Drosophila melanogaster: one gene and its partner. The protein of the gene in region 2 purifies or fractionates together with the protein of the main gene of each other region. This does not show direct contact. Each region holds a gene or a part of one and is shown on either strand. Other genes may lie near its edges.

Region 1 (4,666 bases), 6.0 Mb from region 2:
CACTAACAAACAAAACACCACTCGACACACAACGTAGTAGAGAAGCCTAAAAAAAAAAAAAAACATAATGAAAAATATATTAAAAACCAACCTCAGGGTGCCGTCGTTTCAGCGGTCACCAAAAAATAAAAAAAAAACAAACGAAAAAAATCTAAAACCAGACAAGAAACCAACTATATACACAACATATATATACAAAACATAGACAATGTTGTCTTTTATAGGGAATTGTTAAAGCGCCTCAGTTACATTTCAAGTATTTATTGCGGGCCTGCCACCAGGCGAGATCATGATTTTCCATTCAGATTCAGAATTTCCGTTCAAGATGCCACTTTTAGTTGCGAGCGAGATCTCTTTTGCAAGTGGTTCGTCTTTGAGTCCTTGTTTGTTTTACTTTCGTGCATAAATCAGGCGAAGGACAGCGACTTGTTGAAGGATTTATGTAACCTAGTATTTTATTACACGTAAACTAATAAAAAGAAAGCAGAAGGACAGCGTTTGCCTTAAAATAATACTTTAACGAGTTTTATTAAAGTCATACTGTGGGAAACATAATCAATCTATTCGACAAATAGGGATTTGAATTGTGCTCAACAATAAGATTGGTCATTAAAGTAATTAAAGCAATTAATGCAGTATCCATATAATAGAAATCTATGCACTCGTGCAGCGCCGCACCCAACCAGTTTCTATGAGCGATCTATTTAAATTAACAGTGTGTCCTTGTGATTCCGTATCAACTAGCACAAGATAGGCAGTGTTGTTCTAAAAAGGTGAAATTTATATCACGTTTTACTAGACAGTACAAGTTAATCGACTCACCTTAATAGCTTCGACCTTGGCGTAAAGCAGGCGCAATAATATCATATCGTGAAAGAAATTAACAACTTCTGCGGTCCAGTTTGGAGACTTACACTGCGTTATAAACGCCAATCGACCCGCCAAACATTGACGTGGCAGCAAGGCAAACGGCTTGATCAAAAACTTAACATTCTGTTGGCTCACGCGGATTATGTCCCCTATGTCAACCAGCTCAACCTCGATCGTCATTTTGTTGTTACTGGACCGATAACCTAATACTTTGGCCCTTTCCCAGCCACTCGTACAGCGGACCACACAAAGATGATCCGTAGTTATCAAAAACAGTGGCATTGTGTAATTTTTCGATTCCGAACTTTCATAAAACGTTCTATAGGAGAAAATAAATATTGTAATATCTCTCAGAATGTTAATATGAATATCTATATATCTTACTGCATATTGGCAAACTGTGCCTCGTAGTCTTTAAAGTCATCGTTATATATCCAGAAGTTAAAATTGTGTGGATTGACCAAACTCACCAACTGCACCCTAATGCGCTGCTGTAATTCGATAATGGATTCAATATCGCGAGCAGGCAGTGTGAAAGCAGAACGAACCGCATCCCTAGGGTAGTCCACGTCCAGAACTCGATGGTCCTGTTATAAGAAAAGCCCGGAATCAGCATTACATTTTAGACGAATCAAGCTATAACCTACCACAGCATAAGCTGGAATGGCATTTTCATCTTCCCCATCGTCAGAAGACGCGTAGTGTAAGCAATCCTCCGGCGGATCCAGGGGCTTGACAGCATTCTGTTGAGTTGTGGTCATCGATAAGAGATCAAAACCATCCTCGGAAACGGCGTCAAATGCGAGCACCACCGCTTCATCTTCTTTCTCTTTAACCTCTCCATAGATAAAGGGGTCTCTCACGAATTCGTCCTCATTATCCTCATATATTTCGCACTTTAGCTTTTCTTGGTGATCAGTGGGAGCAACATCCACGGAAAGGTTTTCAAAAGCTTGGGCCAATTCCTCGGTTTCTTTCTCTTGCTTATTCTCAGTAGTTATTTTAGGATATTTCTGATTGTTTCGCTCCTTTGAGGGTTCCTGTTTTCGGTCTTTCTGCGACCAATCATTAACTTTCAATGACTTGGAGTTGGCGTTACATGGAAAGCTTGGCCTTTGGGTTCTAAGGGTACTCTGCGGAAAGGCATACGGATTATTCAGCGACTGAAGATAAAAGTTATACTGCAGATGATTATATAGCACCTGTTGCTGTCCGGTGCTGATCATTTGGTCAATATGAGGCGTATGGACGGGATATAACAGTCGATTATAGTTGGGATATGATACAGGAAGTTTCAGATTTCTGGGCACCTGATAAGTTGGGAACGGCGCTTTTCTGTTTTTCATTTTAGAGACGCTTTCGTTAATGAAGACCAGATTGGATGGCTCGGAGGCGTAGCAATACTTGGGTTTGTGGGAGCCTCGATTCTTGGACTTCTTTTGGCAACGGACCAATTTCTGAATGTGCGCCGATTTGGCAGTGGCTACTGCAGTTATCCATGCCATTTGTCCGTGGCCCGTCACCTGGTAATTGCTTGTAGCTTAACGAGTGCTCATTTGGATGTATACTTTATTTACTTACCGTAACCGTATCCGGAATGGATCGGAGAAAGGATTCGGCGTCCTTAAATCCCAGTTTGCTGTAGGGCAAAGTGCAGCCCTCTTCGCTGCGGTAATCCCGCATCAACTGCTCAACGGTCAGTTTTCCTGGTGAGGACACCACCAGCGAGTGGACAACTTTCTTCACCAAGCTCAACTCCCCTCCATCATCCATGCTGAATTAATGTTTGTGATTTTGCAGATTTACGTCCCTCTTTTCACTATAGTTCATTAGAATGAACTGATTCCATGCAAAAAAGGCGCTAACACGCTTCCAAATAATCAACACGCTAACTGTAAACGTAGTATTGCACACAGTTATCGATAACGGCTGCGTCGTTAGCAACTTAAATTAATAGTATTGTTATTAAATAAGCGTCGATGAGATAGTTTTTCGGAACGGTGGAATATGGAACATGGGGAAGTTTTTTATTTATTTATTTTTTCGTTATTTATAGGTGAACCAGAGAAGGCTTAATTTTATAAATACCTTAAAACTACTCAATTTTCTGAACATTTCTGAAGAATATGTATATTCCTTTTTTACTGGATGATTTCTTAATTACATAAGCCTATAAGCTCGGCATTCCGGAACTCTGAGAACAAACACAATCTGATATTCCAAAGTCATATTTTAAATTCTGCCGCCGATAGTTTAGCCAACCATTAAATATCGATTTTTAAGAGAACTTGATCATAATTTTTTGTTAATATGGTTTTCTGCTATCGATAGGATAGTGCTGCCAGACATAAAAATTGCCAATCGGAAATTTCCCGCCGCGTTTAAACTTCATTATTTTTTAATAAGTTGGCATACCACTACGAAACAATACATTAGCTTAGTGCTGCCGTACTCACACATATATGACTGATTGGCGCCACTTTCAAAACCGGTTAAGCCATATGGCGGTTTCAGCTTTCGTTAAAGTTCTATATGCCGCTGTTGTTTTATGTAATTCTATATGACCGACAGACGTCCTTCCTCGTGAAACTCAAGTAGCTGAAGGAAGCTACAAGTTCAGCGTAAGTTCATGTCACATGTGGGGCTTGATGGAAGACCACCGGCAAATGGCATGTTTTTTGGGATCGGATCGGGTTGAGTTGATCTTTGACTCGATATTTAACATAGACATTTACAACTTTTTTACCTAGAACTTGGCCATTTAGATTTGCAATTGCTGGTTGTTACAACATCCGCTTACAACTTGGGCGGTGGGCAGATAAATCATAACTCAAAACCCGCCCAAAAAAATTGAGTTTTTCCGGGAAGGTGCTGGTGTATACCCAACACTTTCCACACATGACACATGAACTTGTCCGGAGACAGTGACTCCATTAATAATTTTCACACGACCGGCAAAGGGGCCTTGTGCCATGTAAATTTTACAAGCGGCTCTTCCACATTTTCTGCGTTGCGTAAGTAGATACAGGTACGTCTTGGTTTTTTATGCAGCCGCATAATTATATTCTTTATATTGTTTGCGGGGAAACAAGAACTGGAACAACAGCAGCAACAACATTCAACTTTATTGTGGTTTTTGTTGTTACCGTTTTGGTCACTTTACAAATAGTTGAGCCGAGGAGGAAAAAAGCTCGATGGGATCTCTGCAGTTGGCTATGAGCGGGTGACTTGGCAATCAAACCGGTTGTCCCTGCTCCACGGCTCCATCTTTTTGCCTGTGTTCGTGTGTGATTTATAGTTACGCACAAGCGCGCAAATCCAATTAGACGAACTGGCTAACTGACTGACTGACTGACTGACTGGCCAACTGACTAACTGACAATCCGAAGCATGGCCCGCAGCAAATGCCACCAGGTTATAGGACGGCCGCTGGTTCGATTTGATCTGAAGATCTCGGCCCGATCTTCGCCAGACATATCGCCACAGTTGTCATTGGTCATGAGCAGAATTATGACCGAAACGAGACCATAAAATATGTGGAGCTGCTGTGCCACTTCTGCTATTGGTTCTTAAACATTTTAGAATTAGATCAATATCTATCCTCACTTTAAATAAATGTAAATACAAGAAAATATAGTTCTAAATGAGCCTATTTTAAAAGTGTAGTAGTAATAGTGAAATATAAGCCACGAATAATACCTTTAGAAAGAAGATTTCCTTAGGATTTCCTTTAAAATTAGAGTTACTTTAAATACCAATTGATTTCCTGATTTATTTACTGCCTATGCCCCATTTA
Region 2 (7,751 bases):
AAATTCTTCATCAAAGTCTGCAGCTGGTTATAGTATTTGTACGGTTGCACCTGCGGAAGAATCGCACATCATAATCGGAGTCATTAATTTGCTGATGATTGACTTACCGCAAAGTGACCGGGATTGACGGAGAGGGCAACGCGCACCTCGAAATAGGCACCCACTGCCGGAATAGCCTCGTAATCCTTGAGCATGAGAGACGAAAAGGTGCTGCCGGTCGATCTTGCGGATGGTTTCTTCTCTGGCGTCACCGGGGGAGTGGTAGCGACAAGGTCGCTGCTGCTGCTCTGATTCGAGAACACGGAGCTGAAGCTACCGCGTCTGGGCAGCTGGACATTGGAGCTCAGGAGCGTATGATCATACTTCTCCGGATGAATGGAGCTGTGTGGGTGGGGAATCAAGGGTGGGGCGGGAACAAGCCAGATTGGGGGATTGGGAGGCAATTGTTGGTTTCAAGGTTTAAAAAATCTGATTGCTTTCGGGCTTATTGGGTAGTAAAGTACATATGTGTGGCAGCTTAAGAGTATATTTTTCAGATTATATACAAAGATGTGCATGATTTTAGGGTAAGCTTACAAAACGTAGATCGAATTTGTGTTAGCAATAACATATCAAGTCAGTTCCGGTTTATTGAAGCACTTATAGAGATAGCATTAAGCAAAGGATCAATTATATTGTTAATATAAACTTATAGGGCACCAGTCACAATTCAGATGTCGTTGTTTAGGGAGCTTGATGACGATGTGATTAGATGACATTGACCATAATGATATAGAATGAATAGACATTGTACAAAAGCTTCAATAAAGGCACTTACCTAGCCATCTCGAGCTCCAGGCGAAGGCCAATGTTCACGCACATATACATGGACTCCGGATCCTCGCGGATGAATACGTTTACCAGAGGCTTACCACCATCCATGGCCACAACCTTCAGCTGCGGGAGAAAATGGTGTTACGGATTCGACAAGCTTTCAAAACATCCCTTTCATATAAAACACTTACGAGAGCTTCGGTGCGCCAAGGTATCAGACCACGCAGGCGATGAAGCATATGACCTCCGATCTCTGGAACGTCGTGCAGGCGAACGGGTATCGCCTGTGGCGGGAACGTAGCCAGAGCTCTGTTGTTTGCCTCCAGGCGGTAGATATTAGAGATGTGCGCCTTACGCTGCCGTCCATCGTCCACGTAGTAGACATCGAAGGACTCTTCGTCCGGATTCAGTGGTCTGGTGACCAGTCGCCCGCGGAACCACTGCTTGACGCCATCGACAGTCTCGTCGCACACGAATATATGGCGGTCGTGGAGCAGATCCGAATAGCTCACTCGGTCCTGCTCGCCCAAATCAGCCACAGTTTGCGCAATACTGCGCTCCACAAACTTAAGGTCATCATTGCGTAGCAGCACCATTAGATCACCATCATCGTTGATGTGAGACACAAGAATGGGCGTGGTCTTGCCGATCTTCTTTTCATCACTCAGCGATGGTGCCGGCGTGCACTTCGTTATTCTTTTCGCAACCAGATCGTTCAGATGAATGTCCTCAGCCGTTGAGGTGTCGTACAGCGTGGCCACCAAGCACGCCCGACGCTTACCGTTCTCCACCACACCCTGGGCAGATCCACCCAGTTCCAGGAACTGCTTCTCCGTGGTGAGCACATGGGCCACAACCGTCTGGCCGTCCAGCTCCTTTGTTAAAACCTGCAGAGCGTGCGGATGATCCTCGAACTTATCCAACGCATACATGCTGAGGCACACGGCCTGGGCCGGGAGCGCCAAGAACTGCGGTGGACAGTGGAAGAGATCTTCTGAATGAAACATTGCCACATCGCCAAAGTCGATAAAGTGATAACGGCCCGAGCGGGTCTCCTCATCCACAGAAATTGCACGAACACGATTCCAGCCATCGGGCATCTCCACTAAATAGACTTCCTGAGCGTAAGGTTTAGAGACCTTTTGTCGGAAATGCGGAGACTCCATTTGGCGTCCAATATGCTTCGTCAGTTCCTCAAAGTTTGCGATCTGATCGATCATCCGAGCCCACACTATCTTGGTGGAGTCGCAGAAGCTGATGAACATGTTCCAGTCGTGCGATCCTCCTTCGCTTGACTGCCACGGCAGCACCATCTGTGGCAGGGTGGTTATGCTGGTGCGGTCCGGCTCCGATGAACCAGGATCGTTGGCAAACAATATGATCCTTGGATCAATGCCGTGCTCAACACGAATTTTATTTGACTTCACGATCAAATCGTACCAATGACTGGGCAGATGTTGCCGGAAGGTGCTGCCGTACCAATCCTCCAGCTTGTGACCCAATATGCCATGTGGGTGCTTTAACAGCTCCTTGTACAATCCATCGATAAACTCCACATCGCTAAATGTGCAAGCAGAAAGCTTTTGGTGTGACTGGGCATGCATGATGCGCTGGATGGCGATCTGTGCTGTGCGTTGGTATGCTGTCTCCTTATCGGTGAACTCCTGCGGATAGCTACTGTAAACATCGCCAGCGATTTGCACTGAACAATGTAGGTTCCGTAGCTTGTTGAATATGTTGTATGCAGGTTTCTCAAAGTCATTTGCCGCGCAATAGAAGTTGAGCGTGGAGACGGGATCAAGTGAGGGATCGAATTTAAGTGGCACCTTAACTTTTGGATTTGTAACGACATTGCCTGTTTCACCTTGACCTCCGTGGATATCTTCTTTGTACGTCGCTTTAGCGGCGGTTGTCGTTTGAGCGTATTCCGGCGAAGCTGGCGGCGTGATGGGCGCTACCGCTGGCGTGGGTGCATCCGATTGCGGCGTTACTTTCAATCTGTGATTCACAGAGACGCCCGTGGTGCGCTGGTGACCAGGGTACATTACTCGCGGATGACGTGGCCGCTTGAATGAGGATTCAGGGCTGTGATAGACGGTGCTTGTATCTTGCTGGCGCTGCGAAGCACTGTTGCCCAGTATGGCACGCAGCGGAGGTTTGCCGTCATTGTGTTTGTCTTGTCCGTTAGCCACTTTAACGTGCCTTGGTCCATGTCCATTCATGACTGGTGCCTTTTTGTTCTCAATTGTTACGAAGATCGTTTCCGTCACAGCCCGATCGCGGGTTTCTTTTTCCTTCTGTTTTTCCCTAGCGACTTCCTTCGTTATTTGACCACGATCTAGATCGTCTTCTTTCTTAAGCTCTTTCTTTCGCCTTGTGATATATTCTGGATTTTTGTTGAAAACCTGCAGGTTTTCCGAAAACGGACCTTGAATATTATTGAAACTTTCAAACAGCTCTTGGGTTATGATGCCCGTTAGATCTTGTTTATGCTCGGCTATAGCCTGATTCTCACACTTAGCTGCTCTTCCTATTTCTTGATCCGGCTGATGATTCGGCTGCTTATTCCGTTGCTGGTAGTGGTACTTATTGCCGTGAGTGTGCTTCTGGGCAATTGGCTTGGGCTTCTGGGCAATTGGAGTGGGCTTCGATAAGCTTGTGGACTTGCTGGTCTTCTGCTGACGTACCATACGCACAATATGTTCTGTGTTAGCGTTATACTTCGCTGTGATGAACACCTGTTGCGGGATAGATGTGAAGGTAATTAATTTTGAAACTCGCATTATGCTGCATATTATGCTACTTGTATTAAATGCTTATCTGTTTCCCTAATATCTGTATGTATATAATATATATTAGGTATATTAGGAGAACTTAAGATGTAAATCCTTTTGACAATCTTTCTAATGCATAAGTTCCGGTTATTGTATACGACGACCCTTAACCAGGAAACCCTACACTGTATACATGAGCTACCACTTCTAGAAAGGGGAAAGTGGCTCTGCTCGAACAACTCTTGAGTTTGGAAATCCAATATGCTCCATTTAACTGAAGAGTCAGCTATTTTACAGCCAAGCCCAGTGAGTCCACTTAATTGTTTGGAAATCCGAGTGGATTGAAGAAGTTGAGTTTTTGTTTATGATTCACATTGAGTCGAGCTGTTTCGCTGCTGCAATCATCTTTATAGGGTCACAGCGATCTGGATATGGGCAGGGGGTTTTCAAGCCCCAAACGTGATAATGGTGCAGAGCGAGAGCTCGGAATGCTAGATACAGAATACATAATTACAATTAAATGAATAACACTCGTTCGTTTGGCTCGTCTGATTATTGATTTGGCAAGCAATGCAAAAGCGTTGGCCGGAAGAGCCCGCCCATCCAAACGCCCACTTTCGCCCACAGGTGTGGAGGCAGACGGCTAAACAAGAATAATGCACACAGTTCAAGTGCAATACGGCCAGATGGGGACTGGCATTTATAGAGAAAAAATCAAAACATACGACTGACGAACGTTCGTTCACTTTCACCATGCAAACATGCAATCGCATACGAACGAACACACAGGCAATTTGAAATTGCTGGCCTTTTCGATTTTCGCGTTATACACTTTTGTTTTCGACTGTCGTTGCACTTATTAAAGCAAAGCGCTTAATCAGCACGCATTTGTTTAATATGTACAAGTGTACCAGGCGAAATCGAAACTAGACTAAGTAAGATCCATTGTTTACACTTTTCACGGCGCAGATGAAAAGAAGAAGACGCCGTTGACACGTTGCCCCTTCAGCGGCGGGCGGCCCCTTTTCGACGGAGAGAGCGGGCGGGAACGGTCCGTCGAGCGGTCGGTCACACAGAGTGAAGCGGTAAGGTAGCAGCGCAGCAGCAGCGGCTCACCGCACGCGTTCAGCCAGAGAATCGAACTGAAAGCGGTGGGCGCCGCTCGCGAAAAGCTCGATAGTCAGCGGCGATGACCACCTGTCTAAGTTAACGTCAGATCTAGCGGTTTTTATGGCCATATTAGTAATTACAAACTCTCATTAAAGGTGAAATCAAAACGGAACTAGCTAACCATCTCCTTTTCCTAAATTCAGTAACACTGATTTCTTTAATTCCAGTATTCTAATTAATTAAAATACATTGAAAAGAAAGTAAAAAATATCTAGCTAGTTTTAGCTAACAGCTATGGTGACACCAGCAGAGAGCAACTCGAAAGCTGCGCACGTGAGAGAGGCACCCAGAGAGCAAGCTCAGGCGAAGTGGGCAAAAGAAAGCGGTTAAAGTGGGTGGAAGAGAGCCGCTCACTCCCTGACATTTGCGATATGCAATAATTCGCAAAGAATCTTGCCAACAATTTAGGCAACAGGCGTAACAATTGGAAGGACGGAGATGGCACTTACCTGATTACCGCTTTGGTGAAAGTTGAATTGATTCGAATCCTTAAGCAGCTCTTGGTCATTCGAGTAGCCCAGCCTGCGAAAGGGTATCGGCTCACCCTCAATCTCCATGTAATCTGCGACGATGGACCGCAGCGTAACCGGCGGCTTAGCTGACGTGATTAGGGCCCTGACCACCTTGGCCACGTATTCCAGGACCTCCTGCTTTTCCATTATGATCGTTCCACGATTCTGTCGAAGAGAGCGAGAGGCGGAGAGAGGTTAACCCATTGAGCATGATTCAAGTGGCGTGGAATGCGTGCGCCCACCGCCACCCCCACTCCCAAATCAGCAACAATTAAGCATGCACAGAAAAAAACAACGCGGCAAAAAGAAATTTCTAATATACTATTTCTAAACTATAGGGTCTAAAGGGTTGAAAGGGTCTAAATTATTCTGCAAACATTGAGTTGCGCCTGTTCCGCGTTATTCTTTCAGTGTGCACAATAAAATTGGCAAACACAGGGCTAGAAAAATAAGACGGACAAGGGGCAAAAAATAAAGAGAATAGAGACGAGAAAGAGATGGACGAAAGCGGCGGCGCAGACGCAGAATTAAATTATTTTGATCTATATTTTAGAATTTGATTTCGTTTGTGCAAATACAAAGAATGTGTCGTAATGCGATATTGTGAGTTTTCTGTCCTTACCAAACTATTAAACAATTAATAAAAATCGAGTCTCAGCAAGATATGCACTGCAAACTGCATAAATGAGACTATTGGGGTTTTCCTGAGAAATGAATATTCCGATGATCCCGAACGAAGTTCCTTTTAACACAACAATACGGGAGTTCATTCTCGCTTGACGTTTCTAAAATTTTCGGCGCCTTCTAGTGAGACCGTGGGCTGGATGTCAAAAAATACGTCAAGTGGCATATAAATACGAAAAGCTATAAGCAAGCACTGTCTTAGGGTTAACGTATTGGCGCCAAAATTCAAACTTCTTATTTTTAAAATATATTTAAGTGTTGAATAAATGTTTCAATAAAACTCTGTTAATATTTATACAAATGACTTAATAAAAAACTCCTGCAATGGGTAGCTTTTTAGTCTGTGTCTGCTTTTCCATAGCGTACAACTTGTGTTTTTTCTTCTTTCTTGGTCTCAATTCAAATGTATTGCCTGGATGCAGTTCATCATCGCTTGTGCCCTCCAATTGAACAGCATTCATTTGTGCTCGCGGCGACGAGCTAAGAGAATCCTTTCTGGGAAAGGAGGACATTGGCTTGACTACCACGCTCAAGGCTTCCAGATTGATACGTCTGTTGTCGTCGGAGGTTTCTGGTTCCAAAGGAGTAAAAGGCTCCATGGAATTTATGGACTTCAGTGGCTTTCGAGGCTCCTGAAAAGGTTCCAGGCGTGCAGCAGCCGCCGGAGCAACCTCAAACCTCTTTGGCTTCATTGGCCTCCTTAGCTTCATCTGCTGCTGGTGCTCCTCCCACACCCGATCCTGCAGTTTCAACTCCTCCTCCTTGGCCACTGCCAAGTCGTACAAGCTCTCTTTTTGGCTCGCTGGTCGAATTCCAAAGGAAAATACCCTGGATGGTGGCCTTGGCTCGGGTTTTTCGATACGTTCAGACGTCTTTGTTGTTGGTTCTTTCTCTTTAACGTGGTTCTCCGATACATCGTCGTCCGTTGAGTGACTTAGCAGTTCCAATTCCAGGTAGTTGAGATTCTTGAGCACCGATAGGGCATGCTGCTTGGTGGCCAAAATGATTTCCAGCAGCACCTTGGCACCTCCTAGCTTTTGAGATTTCGTCGATATGGGGCACTTATTACTGGGCTTAATCCTTTGAGCAGATGGCTTTCGCGTCGTTGGTGGACGCGAAGGTGCGGAAGGCGGAGGACGAGGTGTTGGTGGAGATGTGGGAAGCGGCTTGAGCGGAGGATCGGATGAGGGTTCCGGAAGGCAGAAAGTGGTGGGACTGCGCGTTGTGGTACTAAGGGTCGTCCGATGAGTCGTAGGGCTTCTTGTGGTGAACCCGTGGGATCGAGCCGTGGTGCCACGACAAGGCCCAGACTTCCTGGGCTGATCGACCTTGGAGCTAATGACCTTGGCCAGCAAATTGGCTGTTGCCACAGCTGGTTTTCCATCCAGCTGCTGGTCGTTTAAGTAGCCACCCAGCACCCTCTTGAGCTCACGATCGGACTTACGCTCATTCAAATGCTCATTGAAGTTCATCCTGGCCAGGGACTCGAAGGGATCATCCACATCCTCCTTACCCAGACAATCATCGTGCATTCCCTGTCCAATGGCGCCGTCATCAATCGGAAATTTGTACAAGTTATCTTTGAGCATCTGGGCGGCAACATTCGTGGGACCAACCAGATAGTGTTCCGATTTCACCTTGCCAGCAGCAGCCATTTTTTCTGGAATTCCCAATTTCTGCTCCATGTCGTCCAGCCGCTGGAAGAGCAGTTCCGGATCGGAGAAGTATCGCTGCTCCGAAGGCGCCAAGTCCCTTCGCTCGCTGCCGAACGGCCGCCTGGGCCACGAGGTATCCGCAT

The links. The genes of interacting proteins can lie anywhere in the genome.
Region 1: the proteins of tapas (region 2) and tej purify together in Drosophila melanogaster (affinity purification with western blotting, with the first as the bait; one study listed by BioGRID). This does not show direct contact.

The regions. Positions count from the first base shown.
Region 1 is NT_033778.4:14,299,603-14,304,268, forward strand, and holds tej (tejas), read right to left. Parts: upstream 2,752-4,666; 5' UTR 2,644-2,751; coding exon 2,452-2,643; intron 2,394-2,451; coding exon 2,073-2,393; intron 2,004-2,072; coding exon 1,518-2,003; intron 1,458-1,517; coding exon 1,255-1,457; intron 1,190-1,254; coding exon 823-1,189; intron 766-822; coding exon 655-765; 3' UTR 501-654; downstream 1-500.
Region 2 is NT_033778.4:20,317,478-20,325,228, reverse strand, and holds the start of tapas (tapas), read right to left. Parts: upstream 6,050-7,751; 5' UTR 5,892-6,049; intron 5,435-5,891; 5' UTR 5,417-5,434; coding exon 5,207-5,416; intron 4,734-5,206; exon of another isoform or gene 4,541-4,733; intron 4,236-4,540; exon of another isoform or gene 4,102-4,235; intron 3,552-4,101; coding exon 1,005-3,551; intron 937-1,004; coding exon 818-936; intron 732-817; coding exon of another isoform or gene 710-731; exon of another isoform or gene 512-709; intron 382-511; coding exon 108-381; intron 51-107; coding exon 1-50. Other genes in the region: CG13871 (uncharacterized protein), read right to left, coding at 6,259-7,751.